2 linked regions of the Struthio camelus genome follow. The protein of the gene in region 1 purifies or fractionates together with the protein of each later gene. This does not show direct contact. Links are inferred from orthologs where the notes say so. Each region holds a gene or a part of one and is shown in the gene's direction. Other genes may lie near its edges. The genes, in order: PIDD1 and CRADD.

Region 1 (12,293 bases):
GTCCCCAAAACAGAAATTAAGAGCGCCTTTGGACTGACTTCAGTGTCCTTGGGTTAAAAGCCCCTGAAGAGCAGGGCCTGCAGGCAGGCATGTGGTAATCTTGTGGAAGGCTTAAAGTTGAGCATATGGATGTAACGTGAAATCCAAGTAGAGTCAAACATGTTATTGGTGTTGTTTCTAGATCTTGGAATATGAAGCCAAAATGAAATCGGTGGGTTTTTAAATAGTTATTTCAAAGCTAGTTCTAATAAGTATTGGTTGTAACATTTGTGGACTCATCTGGACTTGCTTGCCACTCATGTTTTGGAATTGACTACACAGATTCCAAAAAATAAGCCTTTTTATGGCTGAATAGGTAGGATTCTTTCCTGAATAACTATGATGGCAAGATAGTGTGAAGAGGGTGAATTCACGTAAATTCAACTTCCATATACCATTTAATAAATAGTCTCAAAACAAGCCTTCAGGTTCACACAAGCTTAGCAATACCCAAGCGCTTTAAAAGAATCATTCCCATGGCCTCATTTACTCAAAGTAGCATATCTATTTCAGACAGAGCTAAAAACCCAAGCTTTGTCAGAGCTATTTTAAGAAAGCTGTCTGAATCCAATAGTACTTTATGGTTATACTAATAAACTCAAAAACCCTTTAAAACAAACAAAATTTAATAGTATTTCTATAACAAATAATTAATCAAAGAGGCCGAATCCCATGTCATCATCAGATTCTTCAGATTCTTCTTTCTTCTCTTCTTTCTTCTCCTCAGCTGAAAATGGAGGAAAACAATGCCAATCATCAGTATTTACTGTACATTTTTTGCACCACAGGTTTTCAGGAACAAAGTTAATGTTTTGGTGTTCTCAGCTTCCATGTTATTGGTATTTCAGCCTCCACCGTTCATCTTCGCAGCCATTCATTCCCTTTCAGTAGCCAATATAAACACTGTAGGGACTGAGACACTACTATTGAAGGGATGTGCTTTACACAATAAAGTCCATTTTGATTCTCAGAACCAGAACAAGCTTATGGGATGGTGGCTAAAGAACAAACACTTGTAAATGCCCTCAAAAAGTAACAGTTCAATTCACATTTCAGTCGCACACTCAACTGCCAAACTGGAAAGAGAATGACATTTGGATTTCACCCAAGATTTTAACAGAGGAAAAAGGAGCTGTCCTGTGACGACATGTCTCCCCCCAACTCAGCACACTAACCAGACACCCACGCTCACCTGCAGCGGGGGCAGCACCACCTGCAGCAGGAGCAGCAGAGCCCCCGCCAGCAGAGACGGCCACAGCTCCTCCCGCAGGCATGCTGGCAAGTTTTCCATTACCTGAACAAGACAGAGGAAGAACAGTAGTTAAATGCTCACTGCAGTGTGTTTAATGATGCTACAGGTATTGCAACACGCAGACCAGCTTTTTTATCTAGCCAGTCTGGAACACAGGCAGGGTGAAAAGGAGGAGAAACGGAAGTGTAGAAAACTCAGAATCTAAGTCTAAGACTGAACAGTCACTATTAACTGAAAGGAACAACCAGCTGCATCCATCGTAAGAAAGCATAAACCATTCTACTAAAAGGAGCTGGAGTTTAGGTTTAAAAGTGCTTGTTCACATCAAAAGCTTGTCTGGAGAACACTGATACTGTATTAATAAAGTTTTCTTCTGTATATACAGTCCCTACATTTTTTCCAAAATGGTCCTATAAAAATAGTGGCAAACACATCAGCAAATTTTACAGATACAGAAAAACAAGACTTAGAGCTCTTTCTAGATGATTTCTGTTGAGCTGTGTCTATTTATTGGCTACCATGTTGCAATACAAGGTAACAGTTCAGAAAGTAGGTAACTTTAATATACCTCAAAAATAAGTATGGGCAGACTCGGCTATTTTGTTTGTTTGTTTGAAGGTATAGACAATTGTAAGGGCATGACTAAGATCACATAGGAGAGAGAAGGAAAAAAACGCTGTTATTTGTGGCAAAAAATACAACATTCTGACCAGATCCTCCAACACCCTGTGAACTATGGCATGTCCTTTCAGATTAGCAAACTTCCTTCTGATTTATGCTTGTCTTTGGAAAGTCAGCCAGTTCTCTGGCATCTGCCTTTCACATACCAAGGCTCCCTTGGCATTCAGAGGTTGCATACACAGTATGTTTGCCTGTATTACAATTTCTGGGAATCAGTTTCTAAATAATTCCTTGTTATTTCAAGCTCTAATAAACTCGCAAAGTAAACAAACATGTTTCATATGCCTGTCAATGTGTTCTAGGAAACTATATTTTAAGATCAAGTATCACAAAGAAGTGGCTTAAATGTGTTGTAAACACACGCACAATGGCTCTCTTAGGTCTTCAGACCACACTGACAGAAACATCCAGTTACTGCTTTTATCAGCAATGCCAGGCAAAGTCCTGGCAACCTTTAAGCAAATATAGTTCAAATATGTATGTATTGCGCCTATGTATTTGCAAAATAGAGATTAATTAATTCCAGACCTTTGCACTACCTCAGCTCTACGTTATTTCAGCCCTGTGACCCAGTGAAATAACGTTAAAAGTTCCAGCTTAGGTGCCAGCAGGTAAGAGCACAAGCTTCCTATACAAGTCAGTACCTCAGAGAGCCCCATCTCAGAGAAAAGGAAAGGCCAGATTGGGGCAGCTCTAGCAAAGGTGTGTTTTGGAGGCTTGTATTAATTGCAGTGGGGGCAACTGTGCCCTTAACAAGAACCGTCACTTCTACTTACATTTAACAGTCTCTTCTTCCTATTTTACTCAATTAGTCTGCACAAGTGGGTAAATCCAAAAAAATCTCCCAGAGTACCAAAGGTTAGCTAATTCTTTCTCTAATCAGCATGTCCAGAAAACTATATTATGAGCAGACTACCAGTAAGCTCATACATTTTGAAGTCTCCCAGTTTAATGTGGTCCACAAGCGAAACCCAGCAGGTACTGGCACTGACCTGCAAGGAATTAGAATGGACCTGCTGGATTTCACAGTCATTTCAGCAGAGATCCAGCATGAAAGTGCTCGCCAGCGAGACCAAACTGATGTATATGTCAAGGAGTTGACAGTAATTCTGTGCTCTTAAGCCTAAGTTACCAAACTGGTAGAGGCAATTACCTGTGACACTCGAAGACTGCACTTACCCTGAGCAATGACATCCTCAATGTTCTTTCCATTCAGCTCACTAATAACCTGTGTAAATTAAATTTAAAATGTCAAAACAAGAGTACAAGCTACCTTTACACAAGTATTGATTAACGGTGAGCAATGCCTCCATCCCGCTGCCTGCCCAGCTCCAACTCAGTGGAAGGAGCAGAAAATTGAAATACAAGTTCCAGCTAGCTCTTTTGTGCTTTTCTGTGAAAGTTTTCTCATGAAATCTGTTGCAAGAAATTCATAATGAATCCATGGACGTTACAGAAAGTAGGGTGCCTTCTGGAGCCAACTGGGAAACCCCACTAATGGTTTGTTACTCACTGAGGGACTGATAACTAATCTTGCTTAACTTCCACTGGGAAGCTCTGAAGCACTGGGCCTCACACCAAAAACCACAGGGTCCTGTTCTTAGCACTACCAAATGTTAAAGCCAAGCTGGTGACTATATCCTTGCACTGGAACAGAGAGTCCTGACTTCTATTTTACTATCATTGTTGTATAACCAGGGATGAGGAAAACAAAAATTGCTAAAGCAAGCAAGCAAAAAAAAAAAAAATCAAAAAGGAACGTCATAGATCTTACTAATGAGCTCCTGCTATTGGGTGTCAGTGCTGAGCACTGCAGCGTCACCAAAGCCAAAGGAAATGAACAAATGAGGTAAGGCCAACCAAGAAGTTTTGAAGAAATATCTCCTGCTCACACAGAGCATGCAGCCTGTGAAATGCCATGTCTGTGGGCTCCCTTAATCTGGAAGGTGTCATGGCTTCACTAGATTTACACTGGCATAAAGTCCAGCCAGTACAAATATAGAAAGATGGATAACTATGATCAAAACAAACACCAGTGAGACTTTCTGGATATTGAAGGATCAGGAAAAAAAAAAAGTTAAATTTATGAAGGTTTTAAACAAGGGTAAACAAGCCAAAGCTAAAAGACCTGGTGTTTGAACGCGAGTTCAACGCAACCTCCCAAACCCTACAAGGCTTCTGTCCGCTGAGTCAACCCATCATTTTGGCTGAGGGTGAAGATACGGCACCCGAACGGGAAAATAACTTGTTTTTCCTCCGCCCCTCTGGAAACACCCTGCATACAGGTACGCGGCAGGCAGTAAGACAATTTTTCCTTCTTCTTCCCACGGCCATTAATGCAGCAAACGGGAAGCTTACTACATCAGGAGCAGCTTTCCCACTAGAAAGCTCTTCTTAAAAAGCCTGGTTTTCTACGTAACCACTCCCGCACCGTTCCTGTTTGTCTCCTGCCCGTTATGACCGCAGGCCCTTTTCCCTCTGCGTTGCTCAGGGAAGGAAAACGGGCTTCTCCGGGGGGGGGGGGGTGTGACAAACGCCAGGACGTTACTGAGCGTTTGCCCCCTGGAAAAGCGGCAACTCTTGAAGCAAGCACCTTGTTCACGCGCTCGTCGTCCGTCTCGATGCCGACGCTGTCCAGGATCTTCTTCAGGTCCTTGGAGGTGGGCGACTCGTTGCCGCCGAGGACGGCGAGCAGGTAGGCCGCGACGTAACGCATCCTGCGAGAGACAACAGCCGCCTCAGCGCCGCGCCGCCGCCCCAGCACATGGCCGCCTCCCCCTCCCCCCCGGCTCCCGCAATGGTCCCACCCGAGCCCCGCGGACCGTCCCGGGCGGGCGCGACCACTCCCGCGGGAGAGGTGTGTTGGGGGGGGGGGAAGTAGGGAAATGGGGTCGCCGCGCGCTTACTCGGAGGGAGGGGGGGCGGCGCGGGAGAGAGGCCTGCGACGTGCGCTCGCGACGGCAGCCCGGCGGCGAAAGGGAAGAGGCGGCGCCTCGGCGGCGGCTTCTTCCCGTCACCCCTCAGCAACGCGCGCTGCCATTGGGCCGCGCCGGCCGCGAGCCGCGCAGCCAATGGGTGGGTGGGTGGGAGGGGCGGCGGCGAGTAGGCGGCGGCCGCCATCTTGATGTCCGTTAGGGCGGAAGCGGCAGTGGAGGTGCTGCTGCCGCCGTCCCGGCTTCCTCTCGCTTCCTCTCGGCACGGCTCAGGCTAACCCTTCGTTACAGTTACTCCCCCTCGAGCTCCGTTATTAGCGCGGGCTCCCGTCGTTGCTCCGCGCTAGGCCTGGATTGGCGCTGCTGCCGCCTGTGAAATCCAGAGTCTGGCCGTTGCGGCCGCCGTCCTGTCAGCAAAAAAAGGCATCGCGAGGACGGGAAAAAACGCAGCCCGAAGTCGCTCCTGGAGTTAGGAGCCGTGCCAGGAAGGTTAGGCGTTGATCCAGCCTGGATTCCTGCTGGCGAAAATGGCCTTCGTCGCTTGATTTGATTCCTTCACCCCTGTGCTAGGGAAACGAATAAAAACGAGAAAGGAGCGCGGAGGCTCTTAGGAATACTGCGCCAGGATCCAACAGGCCCAAATAAAGCTGCATCACTGCAGTGGAGTGTTATAAGGAAGCTTTGGCCGTTCCTGTCCTGCAGACAGTATAGAAACCCCATACGCAGCGCTTTCCGCTTCTCACCCCTGGGAATTCAGGTGCCTCCAATAAACAGCCAGGCTCCCGGTTGTATAACTTTGGAAGTGTTTCAGGAAAGCAGTCTGGTAAACTAAAAAGCACAGCCATGGGCACAATTAGTTTTTTGCTCCCTGTAGGGACAGAAATTTCCCTCGGGGCACTGCACAGCTTATAGGCAGCTTTGAGCGAGAAGTGCTGAAACAGGGACCTCGCACTTCTCAGGTGGCATTGCACAGCGAGACCAGCGCGCCACAGCATGGAGTCACTGACTGGACACCTGTTGTGAACGCAAAATCAGACATTGCACGTTCTTAACAAAACAAAGAGCAAAATACATGCTGTGGGGTCTTGCCCGGACACAGTGTTAAGCTGAACTAAATCTCTTGCAATGAAAAAATCGAAGGCAGGGCGGCTCCCAGAGTGCAGAGCGATGAGATGCAGCGCAGCCCTGCGAAGGCCCCCCTGCAGGAGCCTCCCCCAGCTCTGCAGCCCCCAGTCCCACACACGTCAGGGCTTGCGGTCTCTGTTCCTGCTTGTTTTTTCTCCTTGAATTTGCAGCAAATTAGAGCGCTATCAGGAGCTGCCCTCGCCTCTCTTTCCCTCCAGGCTAAGCGCACATCTGGCCCCAGCCACCCCCTGCGGGGGAGCAGCGTGGACACCAGCTGGGGTGCGGTGGCAGGGCCTAGTGCCTTGGCCCAGCTCTCCAGAGCCGCCTGCCCCTTGGTCTGCTGCATCCGGCACCTCCTCCAGCGCGGCCCGCCCCGGCAGGCAGCCCGGAGTTCACTGCAAACTTTGCAGGAAGTGGCCGGCTGAGCCGAGCCCGACCCAGCGCAGCAGCCAGGCTTTCGGGACCAAGGTTGTGCCAGGGGCCAGGGGTGGGGGTGAGATGAGCGCGGCTGTGCTCAGTGGGGCCCGGTGCGTGTGGCCTGGGAGGTCCCCGGGGGCTGTGCCTTGTGGGTGTGGGGTGACGGGGGCCTGGGGCTGCTGGAGCTGGCAGCAGGGCAGGTGAGGACGGCCCGGGGGTGTGCCTGTGTGCAAGTGCACATGTGTGCTGTACACCCGTGTGCGTGTGCACGTGTGTGTGTGTGTGTAGATGCGCGTGTGTGCCTGTCTGCATGCACACATGTGCGTGTACGTGCATGCGCATGCCTGTATGTGTGCACGTGTGCATGCACCCACACGTGCGCGCCTGTGTGCATGTGCACACGTGTGCGCCTGAGAGCATGTGTGTGTGCCTGTATGCCTGTGCACGTGTGTGCGTGTACCCGAGTGGGGGCCTGGGTACGTGTGTGTGCGTGTGTATGTGCCTGGGTGCATGTGCATGTGTGTGTGTACATATGTGCTTGTTTGTGTCCAGGTGCACGTGTGTGTGCCTGTGCATGTGCACGCGTGTGCCTGCCCGTACATATGTGCACACGTGTGCCTGCCCGTGTGCGTGCCTGCGCACACGTCTGCTGCCTGTGTGCCTGTCTTGGTGCCTGGGGCTCGATGTGCGGTACCTGAGCCTCCCCGGCCTGGCCAGGGCAGAGCTGCTCTCTGGTCTCTTCACCACCAATGGCTCTGCAAAGCGGCATCACACCAGCGTTTTGCTTACACGTATCTGTGACAGAGCTGAGGTCTGTGTGTGTATTGTGTACAGCGTTTTCATGAGAAATACTTATCTTTTTCCTAAAGTGGTACTTTCCATTTGCCCTTTCTTCCCTTCCTTATGCGTCAGCAAGGCTTCTGCTCTTTCAGGGTGTTGTGTGTGATGTCTCCTTCCAGACTGTGGCAGGGAAGCATTGGTACTGCCATGTCCTGCAGCTTAACAGTAAAAAGGGGTGCTCTTCAGAGTACTGCTTCTACTGCCCTTGGATGTTGAAGTTGTTAACAGTTTTTACAGTTCTACATCACTCACTCAAACTTGTGTTCGGCTATTCCATCCAAGGCAGGGTTTTTAAACATGAAACTCACATCCTAAGCTTCTTTCATTGCCAAGCTCAGGAGGAGTTAAAAAAGATAAAGGAAGTTAAGTGGAAAGAACGTGAAATGGGGGACTTGGAAGTGTGTAACCGTTGGTACAAAAACAAAGGTAGTACTTGTGCTCGTTTTTATGTTATCGATGTGCCATGGCAGTTGTCGCATGCACACATGCTGATTTCCAAAGTCCTGGGTGCATGGAGGCTTCTTCACAGTGAGAAGTTAGTGGAGTAATTAATTTGTTCAAATTTCATACCTCTGCTCCTTGAGCATTAAATCCTCCTTAGCACACACTATACGATGCCTGCTTTTCACCCTTCTCCTTGTCCACAAAGGGTGCCGCGTGGGGCGAAAAAAAGGAATAGCTGGTCACTGGTCTGCTGTGGCTTCACGTCCTCATTGCTGGCTTCCAGCATCCCTGCGGAGGCAAACCTGTAAGAGCACGAGTCGCACCGCACGGTGCGGTGCTCCTGTGCCACGGACATCCCTCCGATGGCCCCGCTCCCTGTCACTGCCCCGTTTGCTCCACTGCCCTTTGCCCACTTCCAGCTGCGCTCACGTTTATCCCCTTGGCGCCCGGTTGCACAACCGGCTGCGCTCCAGGCCCAACGCCGCCTGCGAGGACCCTGGGCTCTGCTCGGCTCTCTCTGGCCCAGTTTCCCCAGTTGCTGATAAACCTCCTGACCATCTTGCTAAGGCACTTTGAAATCTGCCAGTTAAAACTTCTGTGCCAGGCGTAGGCATTAGTGATTATGTCTTTTCAAGTTACTCTTGCTGTTTATTCTGATGTTGGATAGCTCTTCCACTCCTTGAAGTCTAGGAGAACGCAGAGGTTTTTCCTGAGGAGGGAGAAGCCTCCGCAGTGTCTCTCGCACTTCATTCTCCATGCCTTCTGCCCGTAAAGCTCTCAGTTACACACGTGCAATCCCTTATACCCCGTTGCTGTTGATTATAAGCTGTTTGCAGCCTTTCTGGGCTTGCGCGGGAGGCCTTCACCGTGCGCTTGTGCTTCCTTTCAGAGCCGTCCTCACTCCTTGGCCCGGCTGCCTCGCCGTGCTGCCGGTGCCTCCCTGCCTGGCAAGTCAGAGCATGTCCCAGCCCCGCGAACGAGACGCAGAGGATGGCAGAGCTGCCGGGGCTCGGGGACGAGCGCGGGGAGGGCACTTCGGGGGCTCCCGCGCTCACCGGCCCCTGCCTCGCGGACAACAGGCTGAATCTGGATGTTTATCCTGACGGCTGCTGCCGCTTCCTCCAGCTGTTTGAGAGGCGCGGGGGAGACCTGGCCCAGGTGGAATTCGTCCGGCTCAGCGGCAACGATCGCCTCCTTGGCGCCATGCTGGGCATCCTCCCTCATCTGAAGAGCCTGAAATCCCTCGTGCTGAAAGGTAAATTCGTGGACCTGTCACCATCCACTTTCCTAGGCTCAGTTTTAGTTATTTTTTTTTTATTCTCCTCTCCACATCCGCAGGACAAACTGCCTTTATGTGTGGGGTTTTTTTGGTGGTACCAGTGCCCCTTCCTAGAGCTTTGGCTCTTAGTCTTGCTCAAAGCTGCATGCGGATTTCACCAAGAAGCAGCTTTGACGCTCGCGTTTCCCCGCTTTGTTTCTGCAGCTGCCTGGGGACCAGTTTGTGGAGTCTAGTTAGATGGACACTGCGACTTTTTCTTTATCCATCCTCTGCAAGGAGAATGTTTTTTGCAGTTATGTATAGAGAGGGGGATTGACAGGTGATAGATTTTTTGGTGGCTGTTCAGCCCCTCTTTTATTTTTGGAAGCATAATGAGCTCTTTTTGCTGCAGGTTGCTCTGAATAAATCCTAACTCGATCCTTGCTTAATGTCAGCAAGGATAAGCTTAGCAGCATTCAAGATCGACCCGAAGAGGCTGTTCAACATTTTATCAAAAAGTAGGACTCAGGATGTGCATGTAATTTGGCATGCTGTAATAACTGTCACATATAAATATTATATCGTTCTTTGACTTTCTCGTCTCTTTATTGTAGGAGGATCTCAATATGAATGATAGGATTTTTGTATCAGACTGAATCATTTGGTCTTTGGGAGGTAGAATTTAAAAACGCATGAGAGAAAAGGGTGGTTTTGTGGCCAGGCTTCAGCATTCGAGCTGAAAACTTGAGAGACTGAGGTTCATTTCTGTGTCTGCCACAGATTTCTCATAAAATCTCATGCAAATCATTTTGTTTGTCTTTTCCCCCTTCAATAAAGTCGTGATAACAGTAGTGCCTGTTGTGAGACTTGCTTTGAGAGATGAACGTACACCCTAAGCATCCTGAAGTGGAATAGAGTAGGTCACTGAGATTTTCTTATGTTCCAGGTACAGTTTGATTATTTACATTTTTTACCATTTTGCAGCATAAATATTTTTTGGTGCCCTCTGCTGTAAGCTTTTACAAACGGACAGCAGTTGGAAGGGCAGGAGGAAGCAGTGAAGAAACGGAGCGTAGTGGGCGTCTGCCTTTGGTTGCCTAACTTCTTTTTCCTGGGCGCAACCCTTCTCCAGCTGGAGTTTCGCAAGCTGGGGCGGGGGTCCTACCCCTCCCTCTCTGCCTTGTCATCTGGCCTGCTACTGAGCTACCTGCTTTTTGGCCATATTTTGACTGCTTTCCTCGTGCCTGCTTCGTCCGAGGATGGAGTGGGGGGGCTGCCCAGGGTCCCTCCCCTGTCCTGCAGGTCTCAGTTCTTGGGGCTGTTCGTGCTTCGGCAGCCTGGGCAGAGCCTGGAGGGCGAGGAGTCCTCCCCCACGGTCCCCCCAGAAAGGTTGTTTCTTGTCCAGTGGGGTTGGTAAGAGGTGGAAGAGGAGAGCGGGAGGCTTGGAGGGGTGTGAACCACCCTACTGAGTGGCAGTAAGGCATGGAGTGTCCTGGCTGTTTCTGAGCTTTGACTCCCCGTGTGTTTAGGTGAGCTCTCCTAGCTGACTGTGGCAGCTCTTGATTTCATAGCAGGTCTTCACTGTTATACCTCTTTCACAGATGGGGAAACTGAGGCAAGGAGCGGAAAAAACGCATATCCACAAGTACTTTGTAATCAGTGTTGCTCGTAGTGATGCGTAACTCCGTTTTCTGTGCTACGGCTTCAGAAAGGAGCTTGGTGTGAGGCTGGTGAGGTATCCCTTCAGCACAGCGACCTCTCCCTCTGCTTCCCTCTGCACCCAGGTGGCCATGCCCGGGACGAATTTGGCTCGTGTCAGCCTGGTTCTCTGACAAATTTGCCACCGGACTTTGGGAACCTGAGGTGTCTCACTCACCTGGATCTCAGCTTCAATCGCCTTTCCACCTTGCCCAGCTGCATCCCCCACCTCCCCAGCCTCCGTGTGCTCCTGGTGAGCCACAACAGCCTGGTGGTGCTGCCTGAAGACTTTGGCTGTCTGAGCAAGCTGACTTTCTTCTCTGCTATGAAAAACCAGCTGAAGGACTTACCGCAGAGCATTGGGGAGCTGGCAGCGCTGCAGGACCTGGATCTCTCGGAAAATGCCTTGGAATACCTCCCTGATGAGGTTGGAAATCTGCGCAACTGCACAGAACTGGATCTCTCTGGGAATCGGTTATCGAGTATCCCAGACTCTTTAGGTAAATATTTGCCCTGGGGAAAAGAAGATGACCCTCAGTCTCTCTCCCCATGGAGTGGTTAGCAGGAACTGTCCATTATGCTAGAGCCTGAACGGAAGGGATATCCGGAAGAAACATGCTTGGTTCAGTCAGTCTCTTTAGCATTAAGAGATCTCTGGACCACGCTCTCTGTGATCAGCAGGACTCCTAAGATTTCAGTCCAGTTTACAGAAGCTGAGGATCTGGTTTTGGGTAGCATCCAGCACTGGAAGCAGAAGGACTGGGGCTTAATGGTCAGATGGAAATCTGGGCTTGAAATCATGGTTGTCAGACGTGGACCGGTCCACGGGGCCAGACCCTGACTTTGCTGCCCAGCTTTCTGCATAGGGCTTTTAGGCCCTATATGGTTCTGGGCACAGGGGTTGTCACTGATGCTGCTGTATTTTGGAAGCATCTCACAGCCATACTCCTAGCTGGGTGCTGTAAAGCACAAGGCAAAAAAGGCTGCAGTGTCTCTCAGCTAATTCACTGGACCCCTTTATTTTGTGAATTAAAGATATGTAGAGCGCTTGAGCCTTTCCTTTATGGTGTATGCTCCTTCCATGCGCAATGGGAATGAAGATCCAGTGCTTGACGGCAGGAGTGTGCGTGTGTTTGTGGTGAGGAGAGCAGGGAGGGGGTTTGGAGCTGATGTGCAATGTAATTAACAACCCGGATGGGGAGTCACGTCTTGTTCTAACCTGCAGCCAATTTGAAGTCTCTGCGGCGGCTGCATCTCCACAGCAATCTCCTGGTGACAGTCCCCGCGTCACTCGCCAGCCTGCCCAACTTGTCCAGACTCGATCTGCAGAACAACTGCCTCCGAGCCGTCCCCGCCGAGATCCAGACCTCGCCGTTTGTGCACCTCCGCGGCAACCCCTTAGGAGAAGCCGAGCCCTCCCCACAGGCTGGTAATTGCACAGCTTCTTCTTGTGTCGGTCCGGCCCAGCTGCTCCCTCACTCTGCCCAGCACAGTGTGAATAGATTTGGGTTAGAGAGGAGAAGCAGCAGGGAATTAGACCAGTATTTATTTGTCTGGCGTAATTATAAGGTTGTAAGGATACAACAGTGCGAGTTTTGGAGCTTCT
Region 2 (12,933 bases), on another chromosome or scaffold:
TTAAATGTATATTACTCATTCTTAATAATCGCAAGAAACTTTTCTGTGGGAGGGAGAATTCTTTTTTTTTAGAAAAACAACAGAAATAAAGGGAACTTGTACGACAAGTAAACACTTCCTCAGTTTCCAAACAGAATAACTAGAAACTACCTAAAAGAACCAAGCTGGTTAGTGCAGTACACACAGGGGAAGCAGGGATGACAAGCTGCTTTGGTATCTCGGTTTAGCTCCTAAAAACAACTTTTGTATTAGTGTCAACTTCAGCAGCTCCCAGCATTTTGCTAAGGCTTTCGTGTGGCTGAGAACGCCTGGAAACACCATTCCACTAACACATTACCTCAAATCACCAAGACGTGAGTTTATTTTACTACGACGTGGCGGTTTGCCATGGTGTTGCTCAAACTGGGTAATTCCTACTATGGGCTGAAGATCAGTCAAAGAAATTGGAAGCCAAAAGCTTTGTTATCAGGTGCTGTGAAGTCAGTCTGTGCCAAACCTTACCGGCCACTATCTGTTTTATTAGACAGGGTGTTTGCTACAAACGAGGTAAAGCGTAGCAACCAGGAAACCAGATGGAAAGCTATTCAGGTTGTTGAGGAGGGAATTATCTGTCTAGCTTTTGTTATCTGAGAAGGGGCTGGTTTTATTTTCACAGAAACAGAAGGAAAAGAGCACAAAAAAGTCAACTTCTAAGAGAGATGCCGTTTCCCACAAGATGTATACAGAAAACTAAGCATCATGCCTAGAAAAAGCACAGATGCATTGGAGCAGACATTAATATGGGGAAAGGTGTATTAGTAGACCTTAAAAATCATGGGGGAGTATCTAATATCAACACTCAGTTTTAAAACACATATAAAAACAAAGTCTGGCTAGATGACTGAACTTTTAGGGGGAGAATAGAGCTTATCACAAAAGCAGTCTGTCCTAGCCCCAGCGTTTCCAAGGTTGAGAGGGATTAATTCTGTTCATTAATCAAGTTATCTGTAGGGCTTTGAAATAGCCTAGTCCTCAGAGAAAGAGTCTACCGAAATGTAAAAATGTGTTACCATAATTATGATGTTTGAGTTCCTTGATAAACTGTGGATCTTGTTCTGCTTAAATCCTATTAAAAAAAAAAAAAAGGATTGCACCTGCACTTCCCCCTTCCCCCCATTTAGAGCCGTTAACACTTTAGGAACTGAAACACCAACATAAAATTGTTGCATTCTATGACATTAAGGAGGAAAAACTGCAGGAGCAAAAGCTACTTATGTTAGCATTAAAAAAGAAGGGGGCATCTAGTAGGAAAAAGTTCAGATAGGCGATATCCAGGAAACGTTGAGTGCTGAGTGTTGCACAGAACAACATACGTTAAAAAATTCCCAAGTTCAATGTGCCTGCCTTAATTTTTCTTTCATTGCCAGGCAGAGGTTATATAAAAAAATCCTTTTGTTTTCAGTCAAATTGTTACATAATTGATGTTTCATAGCTGAGGATTGTAATTTGGTGCACTGTCGGTTAACAAATAGTAAATGCAGAGGTATGTTAAATGTGGGAAAAATCCAAAGCCCAATGCACATTCTTCTTTGGAGTTTATTGAAGTTATTATTTATTAGGCTTTGGACCAAGCTTGATAGTAAGAACTATCTAAGAAACAGTTGTAAGATTGATTTTTGAAAGCTGTAAAATCACTTTTAATTATGCTTTGTTAAAATGGAGTTGTATCTCTTAACGTTTCAGCCCTGAAATAGGATCTGTTCAGATGACTGTTTTGTACCCGCACAGCTTTTCTCAGTGGGAATCTCTGAATTTGAGGGGTTGCGCAGGGCACCTATATAACATATCTCATGCATTTGCTTTTTTATCACCTAACATGTTGCTTATTGACACAGTCTTTAGCGAGGAATAAGTTGTCGATCAATACTCGTGTGGTTATTGTTTATGGCACTTTCAGCTGCCTCATTTCCTCTTAGGAAGAACATTATCCTACAGGACTGAGCCTATATTGGCTGCAATTTGCTTATCCCTAGTGTGGGTGGTGGACTTCACGTTTCGTAGTGCATCAGGGTAAAAGTGAAAAGTCACTTTTAAAAAAATTAATATCAGTAAGATTTTAAGCTACGATGATGGTAATATCTTTGAATGCCTGCACTGCAAGGTAGAGAGAGGGAAGTAAGTTGGGAAACTGAGATTCTTATGTAACTGCAGCGCAGTGGAAGTGGCATCACAGCTCCTTTCTGAGAAAATTAGCTGAAGCACCACAGACGTGTGTTGTCTGCAAGGGAAACCGACTGTAAGAACTATAAACTGTTTTCTTGAAGTTCATCTGTTTCTTTTAAGTCCCCTGTTGGAAGATGTAGTGCCTACGTCAGGCTGCTTAACTAGCCCACGGTAACCACGAATGGATACAGGTTTCATTTTGAAAGGGAACAAAAAGGACTCAGTGAATTTGTAATTAGAGGACATTTTCTGTTTGAAATTGAGGCATAAGGAAGAAGTATAGAGAGTGGCAAATCCCTCGATAGGCTACCTATAAAAACTTTCCATGACTCATCACTAGCTCCTTAAAAGTTTAACCTGAAAGTCAGAGCCTTTAGAAGTATACATACTGCATATGAGAAAAGCAATAGAAGTTTCTTGGGAAGATTTAGAACAGATTTCTCAAGAAAGAAATAGATGACAAAAAATAGTGCTTATTCTCCTCTTTACATCCCAATCTTTATCTAAAACCTCCCAGTCTTTATCGCAAATACTAGACAATCTGTTCATATGTTGTAATTTGCAAACAGAAGAAGTTGGTTTTGTGAGAAGGTTTCAGACTTGCTTCTTGAATTCCTTTTACTTATTTGTCAGCATTCGATTTTAAGGTTATTTTGTGGATTTTCTTGGTTTGTTCTCACAATAGTAAGACGGTTGTTTTCTGTTTTAAAAGTATTTTATAAGTCTGGAACAAACATTTAGAGGCTTTCAGTATTTCATCTGCCTACTAAATGCATCTTTAAATTAAACTTCTGTGTTTCACATATAAGAAAATGAAGAAAACAAGCAGAGAACTATATTAATTCATAAACTTACAGAGAATGGAGTAAAAATTCCTTGTAAGAGAAATATGGAGTTACATTTTGCAAATTTGAATTGCAAGTTTTTTTACTACAATTCATGGCAGAGATTCCTTTTTTTCCAGAATGAGCATGCCAGTTTTACATTTCATACCTGCTTCTTTTCTTAGTACTAGTCTACATATAATTTTTGGCTAGAGATTATCTGCATCAAAGTAAACAGCATTAAGAATTAGTTCATTCCAGTACTGCTAATAAATAGTTACTTTTATTATCAAAACAAATGTAAATGTAAAGGGGCACTACACATGGTCATTTCAAACACCATGCTTTAATATGTGTTTTGAAACTTTCTGTGCTATATTTTATCTACATGCTGGATGTGCCTTTAATAAAATAATACTTTTAAGAAAATTGATGACAAGTGTCACCTACATTTTATATTCATTGCTCTCTTCGAACTGTGTTTAATTTAAAGCTTTTATATGAATGAGAAGTTACGAAATAGCAGAGTAATCTAAGTGGCAGCCCAGGGGCTGACCCCGAGCAGTGGCACACTTCAATCCTGCCTGTCATCTTTTCCCAGGGGTGATGAGGAATCGCTTTTGGAATAGCAAGCGCAGCCTGGACCGTGCCAGCCCCCTTCCCAACCAGAGTCCAGCACAGATAATTGCTGCCCTGCTGCTGTCAGGAAGGCGAGGAGCCGGTGGGTTCCTCCCAGAATCCGGTGGCAGGCTCAGGAGAAGAGCAGAGTGGCAGCATTTGGGAGGGCTGTGCATGCCAGGAGCTGTGTACTGGGATGGCAAGGAGGAAAAGGAAGGGAAGGGATCGTTACATGTGAAGGAGGTGGACGGCAGTGGCTTGCAAGACCGTCATCTGGTCCTTAGGCCACTGAGTTTCGGCCACTTTGACTTACATTTTAATAGTGTTTTCAAGATACATCACATTCAGAAATGTTTTCTGTGCTCTTCTTTCTAAAAATGACAGGCAACCATATAATATATGTTCCTTTTTTCCATCTTCATTTCAGAGGTTTTGTAAGAGATTTAACCAATTAGATGTGTTTTTAATAAACAAATCTAGAGGCTCATATTTCTTTTCTTTTGTCTTTAAAGTTGGAATGCTGTCCTACAGACAATTGAAAACAGCATAGTCCTAATAGATTAAATCTGGTTGCACGAGTTTTAAAAAACAAATTTTGGCTCTTGTTATCAGCAGAAACAAATTAGTATGTAGAAAACAAAGAAAATATGTAAATGCTAGCATAGAGCTTGACTCTAATTAGCATAAAGGATCCTCTCAAACGCTTTTGAAAAATTTTACTATACTTGTGCTGTGTTTCTAAGAAGATTTGGAACTTTTAATTGGGCTTTTTTAAAAAAAGTGTATGGTTAATTTAAAAATCTGGCATTCTGATCTGTAATAACCCACATGTAAAAGAGAACAGCACTGTTAGAAAAGATGCTGCTTAGCTTGGTTCCCGCAGATTTGGACTTGCCACACTGAATTCAGCCGTTCAAAAAACTGCAGCCTGAAGACCACTGGTGGTTCCCCAATCCACAGAACCACACCGAATACAATTTTAAGTTAAAAATCTGATGATAACATTGTAGCCCCTGATAAATGTGCAGGATGAATAGTGGTCCATTGATCTAAAAGGTTTGGGAAATACTATTCTAATCTATGTGTTTAGCTAAGGTTAGCTTTCAGATTTTAGCACATTTAGTAGGGAGCTGAGCTGAACCCAAACTGGCTAAAGTATTTTTTTTTCCCCTAAAACTGGAATGGAACTGAACCGTTCTTTTGAAGTTTTGTTGAACTTGGACCAGAACCGAACTGGAACAACTTTAGTCAGAGCTGAACCCAAACAGAATTGAAATGAAGTTTAAGGGTTTTATTGCTTGGATGTAAGGCAACACCTGTGCGCATCCTTATCCTGTAGCTTCAGGGTAAACTCGGAGCATAACCAACTGTTGATTTGTATTGATAAAGACAAAACACTACTTTACAGTTTCCACTCAATTTATATCAAAAGGAAACATCAGATTTTCCCTTTAATCAGACTTAGACCTCTGCTGTTATCCTCATCCTTCCTAAGCTTATCTATTTTCTTTTCGCCATTTCTTTCTTTGCATCACGTCTCTGTTTAGACTGTAAGCAAAGACATGATTAAATGCTGGCTATACTTAAAACAGCAAGACTGTAACCGTTTACTTCAGTGGGAACCAGAGTTGCTCTGTACATACCCATATGTTTTGTTAACTTTCTAAGATCTCCTTGGACCACATAAAACAAATAACCATAATTGCCTGATCTGCCAAAAAGATACAGTAAATGCAAGTGATGCAATTGCTTGTATTTATTTTCTATTTTAAAATGTAGGTACATTATCTGGTATTAAGTGCAGCTGTCAGGATCACAGTGATGTGATACTGTAATTCTCCAAGCTGGTCACTCCAATTCTAGATATAACACAGTTCCTTAGATTGTGACTATATCTGGAAAAAAAAAAAGAAAAGAAATTGGAAGTAAGAAATATTAGAAATTAAGAAAGGAAATTTTCAGGAGCCATGCGTTCTGTGCTAAAGAATGATCATATAGATGGTTTGCAGTGTCCTCTGTCAGTATGCATCGCTTACAGATGTTGCACTTTCTCACAGCCAGTATTACAAACTTTCCATAAGGTATAAAAATTTAAGAACACCTCAGTTGTACTTTGGTTACAACAGCAGCATACTTCTTTTCAGTTAGAATTGCTGATGATGACTTACTTGTGTGGTTTCCAGTTTATCTTGTTAATGTCTTAGTTAATATTATGTTAATGCCTGAGTGAAACAACCAATAGCGGCATTTAAAATTTTTATGTCTACGTTCCTAGAAGACTAACACATGTGCCCGAGGCCAAAATATTTACCTTGCTTTAATGGATGTGTTGGAATGAGATACTATTTATCAGTTATCTAAAAGCAATTTCAATCCCTTGTATCAAATTATTTATCTGGAAATAATCCTAACAAAATAGGTATGGTCAATTAAGCTAAAATATTGCCTAAATTGCTAAAATTGCCTAACAGATAGCATTTCTGCAGAAACTGTCCATATACTAAGTTATATATAATTTCTTTAAACATTTCTTAAGGCTAGTGTACATCAAACTTTGCCTTTTAGACTCACATTCTGTGTCCACATAAATTCTCAGCTTTGTTGTTAAACACTGGAAAAATCAAAGAAAAGGGATATAAGCTCTCTAAGTGTCACTAAATGCATCTCCTTATGCAAAACCCTGAAGGTAAATAAAATACTGAAGAAATGCAGCATACTACCTCTACCAACAATACTTTCAGTTATATTTCTCCATGGCAAATATTTCCTGGGTACGATATCTAACAAAGGCACGTAAAGGTTTCCATAAATAACTTCAAATATGCTTAAATCTATATGAGCAGTCTAAACCGAATGTACAAATAGAATTCACATGGTGGCAACGTTTCTAGCAGCAGCTGCAGCAGCCACCTTTTCTGGTTTTCCGAAGGGTTGGCATTAGCAAGTCGACCAGACCACAGCCAGCTCGCTGTGGCTGCCTGCTACTTCAAGGTAGCGCGTTCCAGCTCCACAGGATCTTTTTTCCTTCGTTGCTATTGCCGTCGCCAGACACTAAAGAAAAGAGCTGACATCACTGAAATCCATGTGACGCCTGACACCTACACTACGTTGGAAAAAAGTTCTACAGTGATACGTGATAGGAAATGACACTGCATCATTGCAATAGATCTATGAATCAGAGTTTTCTCTCTTCTGTAGTACTTTGATTTCAAATATTCGTATAAAATGAGCTATTGAAAGGAATGTTTTCATATCCAACAATACACGAATAAAACGATGAGAACATATTGGACTGTGCATAGCACAAGGAATGTGGTAAAAACAGGCTGGACTTTACCTAACTGCTTTTCAGATATGAAAGTTTCATTTTTAGGCTGCTCAGCTAAAAGTAACGAAACCAAGTATATACAGCATTCAGCATGCTACTGCGGTGTATTTGAGGTAACACCAGCATCTGAGTGAGGTTTGGCTTAGTATATACTTGCAAATAAGAACCAGTATCCATAACGAGTAGCGAGATCACCTGTTTCTAATGTCGTGAAAACTCCTTTTTTTGTAAGCTTAGCTTTATTTTAGCTATAACGCTTCCATTTTCTGAAGAACGCCCAGACGGTGACAGTAGCAGGTATTCGAGATGTGAACTCCTGGAAGCGAGCCTTCCTCACGGAAATACCGCCTCGTCACAGAGCTGCTAGCACGGGAGCCTGAGCCCTTGTTTTACCCTAGCTGTTAATGCTGGTTGCAAGCCCAGTCTCCTAACTCTTGTTCCCGTCCGAAAAACAAAAGCCAAGCCCTCGAGGCAAACAAACGGCTCCTGCCGAGAGACCCGCTGGCTCCGCTGCCACCTCGCCTTTCCAAAAAGATAAAAAAAAAAACCCAAAATCAAAAAATATGGCCTCTACAAGCACAAACAGCGGAGCCGCGCAGCCTTCCCCCGCGCCTGGCCGACTAACGGCCGGACTAACCGACTTAACGGGCGGACCACGCGCCGCGGCGCTGCCCACAACAAACATGGCGGCGGCGGGCCCCCGCCCTCGCCGTCAGCGCGGCCGGCGGCGGCGGCCCTTCCTCGGCGGCGGCGCCGCGAGCCGCGGCCGCTTCCGGCGAAGCCCGCTTGCCTTCAACAAAGATGGTGGCCCCCGCGCAGGCTCCGCGGGCGCTCGGGCGCTGCGCGTAGTTCCCACTTCCCTCCTGTAAGTACGCCGACAGGGGCGGGGGGGCCCTGCCTGCGCGCCGCCGCCGCCGCCCTCCCCGCCCGGCCCGGCTCGGCCGGCCCCCCCGTCTTCCTTCCCCCCCCCCCCCCAACCCTGGCGCCGCGGGGAGCCGCGCGGGGGCCGGCGAGCGAGGAGAGCCCGCCCCGGCGCCTGGCCCAGGGCCTCGCCTCGCCTCGCCGCTCCGCCGCCCCCCGGAGCAGCGCGGAGCGGGCGTGGGCGGCGCCGGGGCCGGGGCCGGGCGGCGCTGGGCCTCGCCGGGGCGGCGGGTGGCGGCGCCCCCCGGGCGGGAGGCGGCGGCCGCGCCGGCACGGAGCTGCGCCGCCCGGGGTTAAGTGTCCCGGCAGCAGCTGTCTCTCGGTTCGGTTTGCAGCTCGGAAGTTATAAACACAACTTGATTTTTTTTTTTCTTTCTTTTTCTTTCTTTCTTTTTTTTTTTTTTTTTAAACTGTGCAGACACACTGCGAATAACCAGATCGCACACGGGTTTGGTAGGGTCGACCTTATTCTTACCTAAGCAGGTACACGGAGTCATATTTGCAGTTATACGCAGCCTAGTCCCCTGGGCATTTGGGAGAGTGCAGACATGGTTCTAGCAAAAACTAAGTAAATGCTCATTTTAGGATCAGAAAGTTCTTGAAATCCAGGTTTTCAAAAGTTGTGTCCCCGAGCTTGGACAGATTGTACGCCAGTGGATCCATAAAAATCCAAACTTGTCCATGTGAGTGTGGAAATAAATCAAGAATTGTGCTCGTTCATCAGAACGAGGAGCTGTATTTCTTAAAGTTTGGATCGACAGTGGAAAGGTACATTTTTGGAGTGTAGCTGGAGAAGGTTTGAGCTGCATCGTCCTTCCATTTTTGAAGTAGAAGTAAACTGGAGTCTCATATTTTTACTTTCCTCGTATTTTACTTCTCTGTATTACCAGAGAAAATTATCCTGGTGCTTAACTCTGGATCCTTAGATATAGGCTGGGATTGAAGTTAGTTCATTGCTGCATTAAACTCTGGCCCTAGAGCGTTACACACCAAAATCCTGATAAACTTCCATGTCCGACTGCTTAGTTCCCAACTCTAAACAAGCCCTTTCCTCCTCGTGGTAAACACACATAAAGAAATAGTTAATCTTAAAAAAAAAAAACCACCCTTTTAAATATCAAGAAGCCCTGTAACTCTGCCAGTGACCTCTCAGTTAAGAGGCCTGATGGACTTTTAAAACCTTGGTTGTGCTCATGCTAATGTCAGTGGGCCAGATGCCTGCTTCAGCAGAAATTCTCCTTTCAGATTCATAGCCATAAAAGCATTTTTCGGTGCAAGAAGGTGCAGGCAGAGATGATTTGAAAAGGCCTTAATTTTGAAGTGTTGAGCACTTGGGCCAGGAATGAAGAAAGGGAACTGAAGAAGTGTTCTGAACTGTCTGAGGACTCAAGTGTTCCCTGTTCAGTGCACGAGTGAGCCTCTTAGATGGGCCTCTTGACGACCATCACAGAACGTGAGGCAGCAGGGTTTCATAGCATCAGAAACTATTTTCTGCTTGGGTTTAGCTAATTCTCTCAGAGCTGTGGCTAGATGCCTCTCTTGAATTCTGCAAGTACTTTATCAGCTCAGGGGTGGTCAGGGAATCCCCCCGGGAAGGGGAAAGTAGGGGGATCTGCTTCCTAAATTGTACCCCTTTTGCTTTAATCTGGTGATCGCTCCCAGTAGCATAAAGGTGTTATATAGAGACCAGAGTCTTCAGTTTCACCCATCCAAAATGAGTATCCAGTTCTCTGTCGTTTACTGTTCTTCTGTCACCTTGCCTGCACTATCATCTCTTAACAGAGTTTGATGCAGTCTGAGCTATGCCTAGTAAATTCAGCTTTTTTAAGAGCATCTGTGCCAGGATAGTGGTTGTTTGATTCCCGGATGACCCTAGGTGTGATGCCTAGAAGGTAGGCATTTGAAAATTCAGCTCAGGATATAAGAAATCTACTGACTAGCTCAGCCAAGGTGCAGTCCTCCTGAGAAGGTGCCCTCTAACATTGCTCTCGGTGCTCAGGGAAAGCTTTATCAGAAAGTGGCTTTATCACAGGATGTCAAAGGGGCTTTCTCACAGGGGATTTTCCTGTCTCTCTCTTTTGGCCATAAGCTCTTATTTTCTGTCCAAAATGCCATTTAGAGGCCTATATATTTTGTTGAACGCCTGCCTTGGATTTTAACAACCAGGCCACTTAGAAGTGTCTTTGATGGCGCCTTGGGAGTCAATACGCATCTCTGACAACTTAAAGGCATTAGAAGCTTTCCTACAAAAGTTCTGAAAATCTTAGATTCTCCCTGTATCTTCAAGCTGAAGTATGGTTTCTGCAAGGTCTAGCTGTCAGAACAGCAGCTTCTAGTTTAATTATCAGAAATTCTCTTGGTAATCACAGTTGACACCTGCTACAGTTTTTTTTGGCTTCATGATTAGTCATGAGAAAGTATTTAATTGTATTACTCTATCATTTTCCTTTTCAAGGAAATGAATGGGCCTAAGGATGTATTTGTCATTAACAACTAGGCTAGATGTCTTGATTCAGTTGACAGCTCTGGCACTGACTCATTTTTTTATATGATATGATCTAGGGTGAGTTGCTTGGCCTCTCTGGGCCTTGATTCCTCTTCTGTAGAGTTGCTATAAAATGCATCTTTTCCAGCTTTTGTCTAGTCAGAGCGTTATTCAAGTGAAATGGAAGCTGAGAGAAGGCATCTGATTGCTTTCTATAAACTCATTAGAAGGGTAAATACCAGGGAGGGAAAAGAGCTACTTAAGCTGAAGAAGGAGTTTTGGCAGAAAAACAAATGCCTATAAATAGAAGATGAATAAATTTAAGATGGAAATCCGAAGAAAGTTTCTCGTCATCAGATCAGTCAAGTTCTAGAACAGCTTTCCAGGATGAGTCAGGGGAGAGAACAGCTTGGTGTAAAAGGTGCACTTCTAACCCTTCTAAAATGAATAGGTATTGCACAAGCCAAAGCTACCTACTCTGTTGCTGTTGCTGCAGGCTGGGCTCTTTCTGTCTGTCCTGCTGCTGCTTTTGTGCTACTGTGGCAGAAGTACTGCAACAGTAATAATGTCAGAGACAGCAGTAGTAGAGATCAGGTGTGCCATCTGTTTAATTTGGGGGGGGGGGGGTGTAGAGTCTCTTATGGACTGGCAAATACTATAGCTGCTTTCAGCATGGGCATTGACCAGTTAATGGATGAGGTTATTCAGCCCGGTTGATTGTTCCAACAAAGGACTGGTCTTCACAATGCCAAAGGTTCCCTTCCTGTCTAATGTTTCCCAAAAATGGCTGCCTTTTAGCTTCTGAGACAGTGAAATCTGAGCAGAAAGAAGATGGCTGGGATCACTAGTAGTTTTCCCAGGCTGATGACTGAGTTTAGCATTCTTTCTAAAGGTTGGCAGGTATGGAACATCACTTCTGGATGTTAAAGATTGAAGTATTTTAATCTCCATGCGTGTTCCTGCTCCTTTTCTCATATTCTAGGTTGTCAGATGGATGCCAGAGACAAGCAACTTCTACGCTCCCTGCGTCTGGAGCTCTGCACAGAGGTGCTCGTGGATGGACTTGTTATTCAGTACCTCTACCAAGAGGGGATTCTCACAGACAGTCATGTTCAAGAAATAAAATCCCAAACCACCAGTCAAAGGAAAACCATGATGCTCCTTGATATTCTTCCTACTAGAGGACCCAAAGCATTTGATGTATTCTTGGATTCCTTGCAGGAGTTTCCATGGGTTAAAGACAAGTTGAAAGCTAAGCGTAAGGAAATGACAGTAGAAGATCCTGCAGGTAAGGCCTGAATTGCTATTGCTGATGTTTTGAAGCTTGTTCTCAGCTGTAATTTTGAATGTATTGAATGTACCAGTAATTTCAAGTTATGCATCATAACTTGATATGGAGCATGAAACCAGCATAGGGCACAGCCTGAATTTCCTGGAAGCCAGCCAAACGCCAGGAAGCATTGCAAAGTTTGGGGAGTGAGCAAGGCTGACTTGGATACTGGGAGGCAGCAGCTTCCATAAGGAAAGGCTGTATTTGGAGGGTCTGAGATGTAGGACCCAGGGTCCCTTACCACAAAACGGGCAGACTGTAAAGAGTAGTTTCAACTAGCTGAAGAGCAATCTCTTCATAATCCATACCTGATTAATCTGTTTTATGTATGTTTTACAGTGTTTCACTTCTACAGTGTTGATATTGGCAGGATTTTTATTTACTTGATTTAATTATGATTTTAATGTGGTTTTAATTTGGTGGCATATATTAATTTAGAATTATGTAGTTTATTGTGTTTATTGGAGTGCACATGTCTAGGATCAGTACCTCCAAAATTACTAGCCATTGCTTAGTTTTAAAAAGAGCACAGCAGCTAACAGATTTAGTGGATATTATATAATCTTATTGAGTCAGATCTCTTGTTTTTTGACATTTAGATGTATTTCTAGAACAGTTTTTTGAGCCTGATGTTTCCTCTGAAGTGATTTTTTTAATGAATACCCATATGCAATTGTTGAGCTGTTCTGAAGTACGGGGGAAAATGCTTAAAATATACTTTTCCTGTCCTAGAAAAGATTTTTTTGAAACATGTCTGAGCTGTTATCCTACTGTTACCAGTTTAATAGTGAAGTAGTTCTTACTCGGGAACGTTGTTTCTGAGCAATCTGATTAACTTCTCTTCTTTCCCCCTCAAACCCCACCTGATCTGGATTTGGTCCTATTATGATGCACATGATGTGATTTTTCCAGTGTCAGTCTGTTTTGCATGAGACTCTTAAGCTTGTGAAGATGTGTTTCTAAGAACTGTTGAACATCATGCGTGCCAGCGTCTGAGTTAGCTGCACGCCCAAGAATGTTTTGTGAAGATCTGCTGGACAAATATGACATTATCTTACCTTAGGACATTTTTAATGGAATATTATGACAGCTTTTCCTTCTGTTGGACCTGTGTGGAGATTGCTTTATGCTTGCTCCCCAGCTGCAGAACCGAGTGAAAAACTTTCAGAACTTTTTGGAGAATAAATATCACATGCCTCCCATAGGTGAAAACACTGTGAGTTCT

What was found.
Region 2: the proteins of PIDD1 (region 1) and CRADD purify together in Homo sapiens (affinity purification with western blotting; 8 studies listed by BioGRID and IntAct, with this or other methods). This does not show direct contact. The link is inferred for Struthio camelus from reciprocal best matches to the Homo sapiens genes PIDD1 and CRADD.

What each region holds. Positions count from the first base shown.
Region 1 is NC_090946.1:16,116,115-16,128,407, reverse strand, and holds the start of PIDD1 (p53-induced death domain-containing protein 1), read left to right. Parts: upstream 1-6,370; 5' UTR 6,371-6,498; intron 6,499-8,620; 5' UTR 8,621-8,721; coding exon 8,722-8,986; intron 8,987-10,773; coding exon 10,774-11,187; intron 11,188-11,912; coding exon 11,913-12,116; intron 12,117-12,293. Other genes in the region: RPLP2 (large ribosomal subunit protein P2), read right to left, coding at 690-766, 1,232-1,333, 3,152-3,200, 4,566-4,688. UniProt on the Homo sapiens protein: Component of the DNA damage/stress response pathway that functions downstream of p53/TP53 and can either promote cell survival or apoptosis.
Region 2 is NC_090942.1:51,378,987-51,391,919, forward strand, and holds the start of CRADD (death domain-containing protein CRADD), read left to right. Parts: upstream 1-7,647; 5' UTR 7,648-7,837; intron 7,838-11,360; 5' UTR 11,361-11,368; coding exon 11,369-11,666; intron 11,667-12,933. UniProt on the Homo sapiens protein: Adapter protein that associates with PIDD1 and the caspase CASP2 to form the PIDDosome, a complex that activates CASP2 and triggers apoptosis.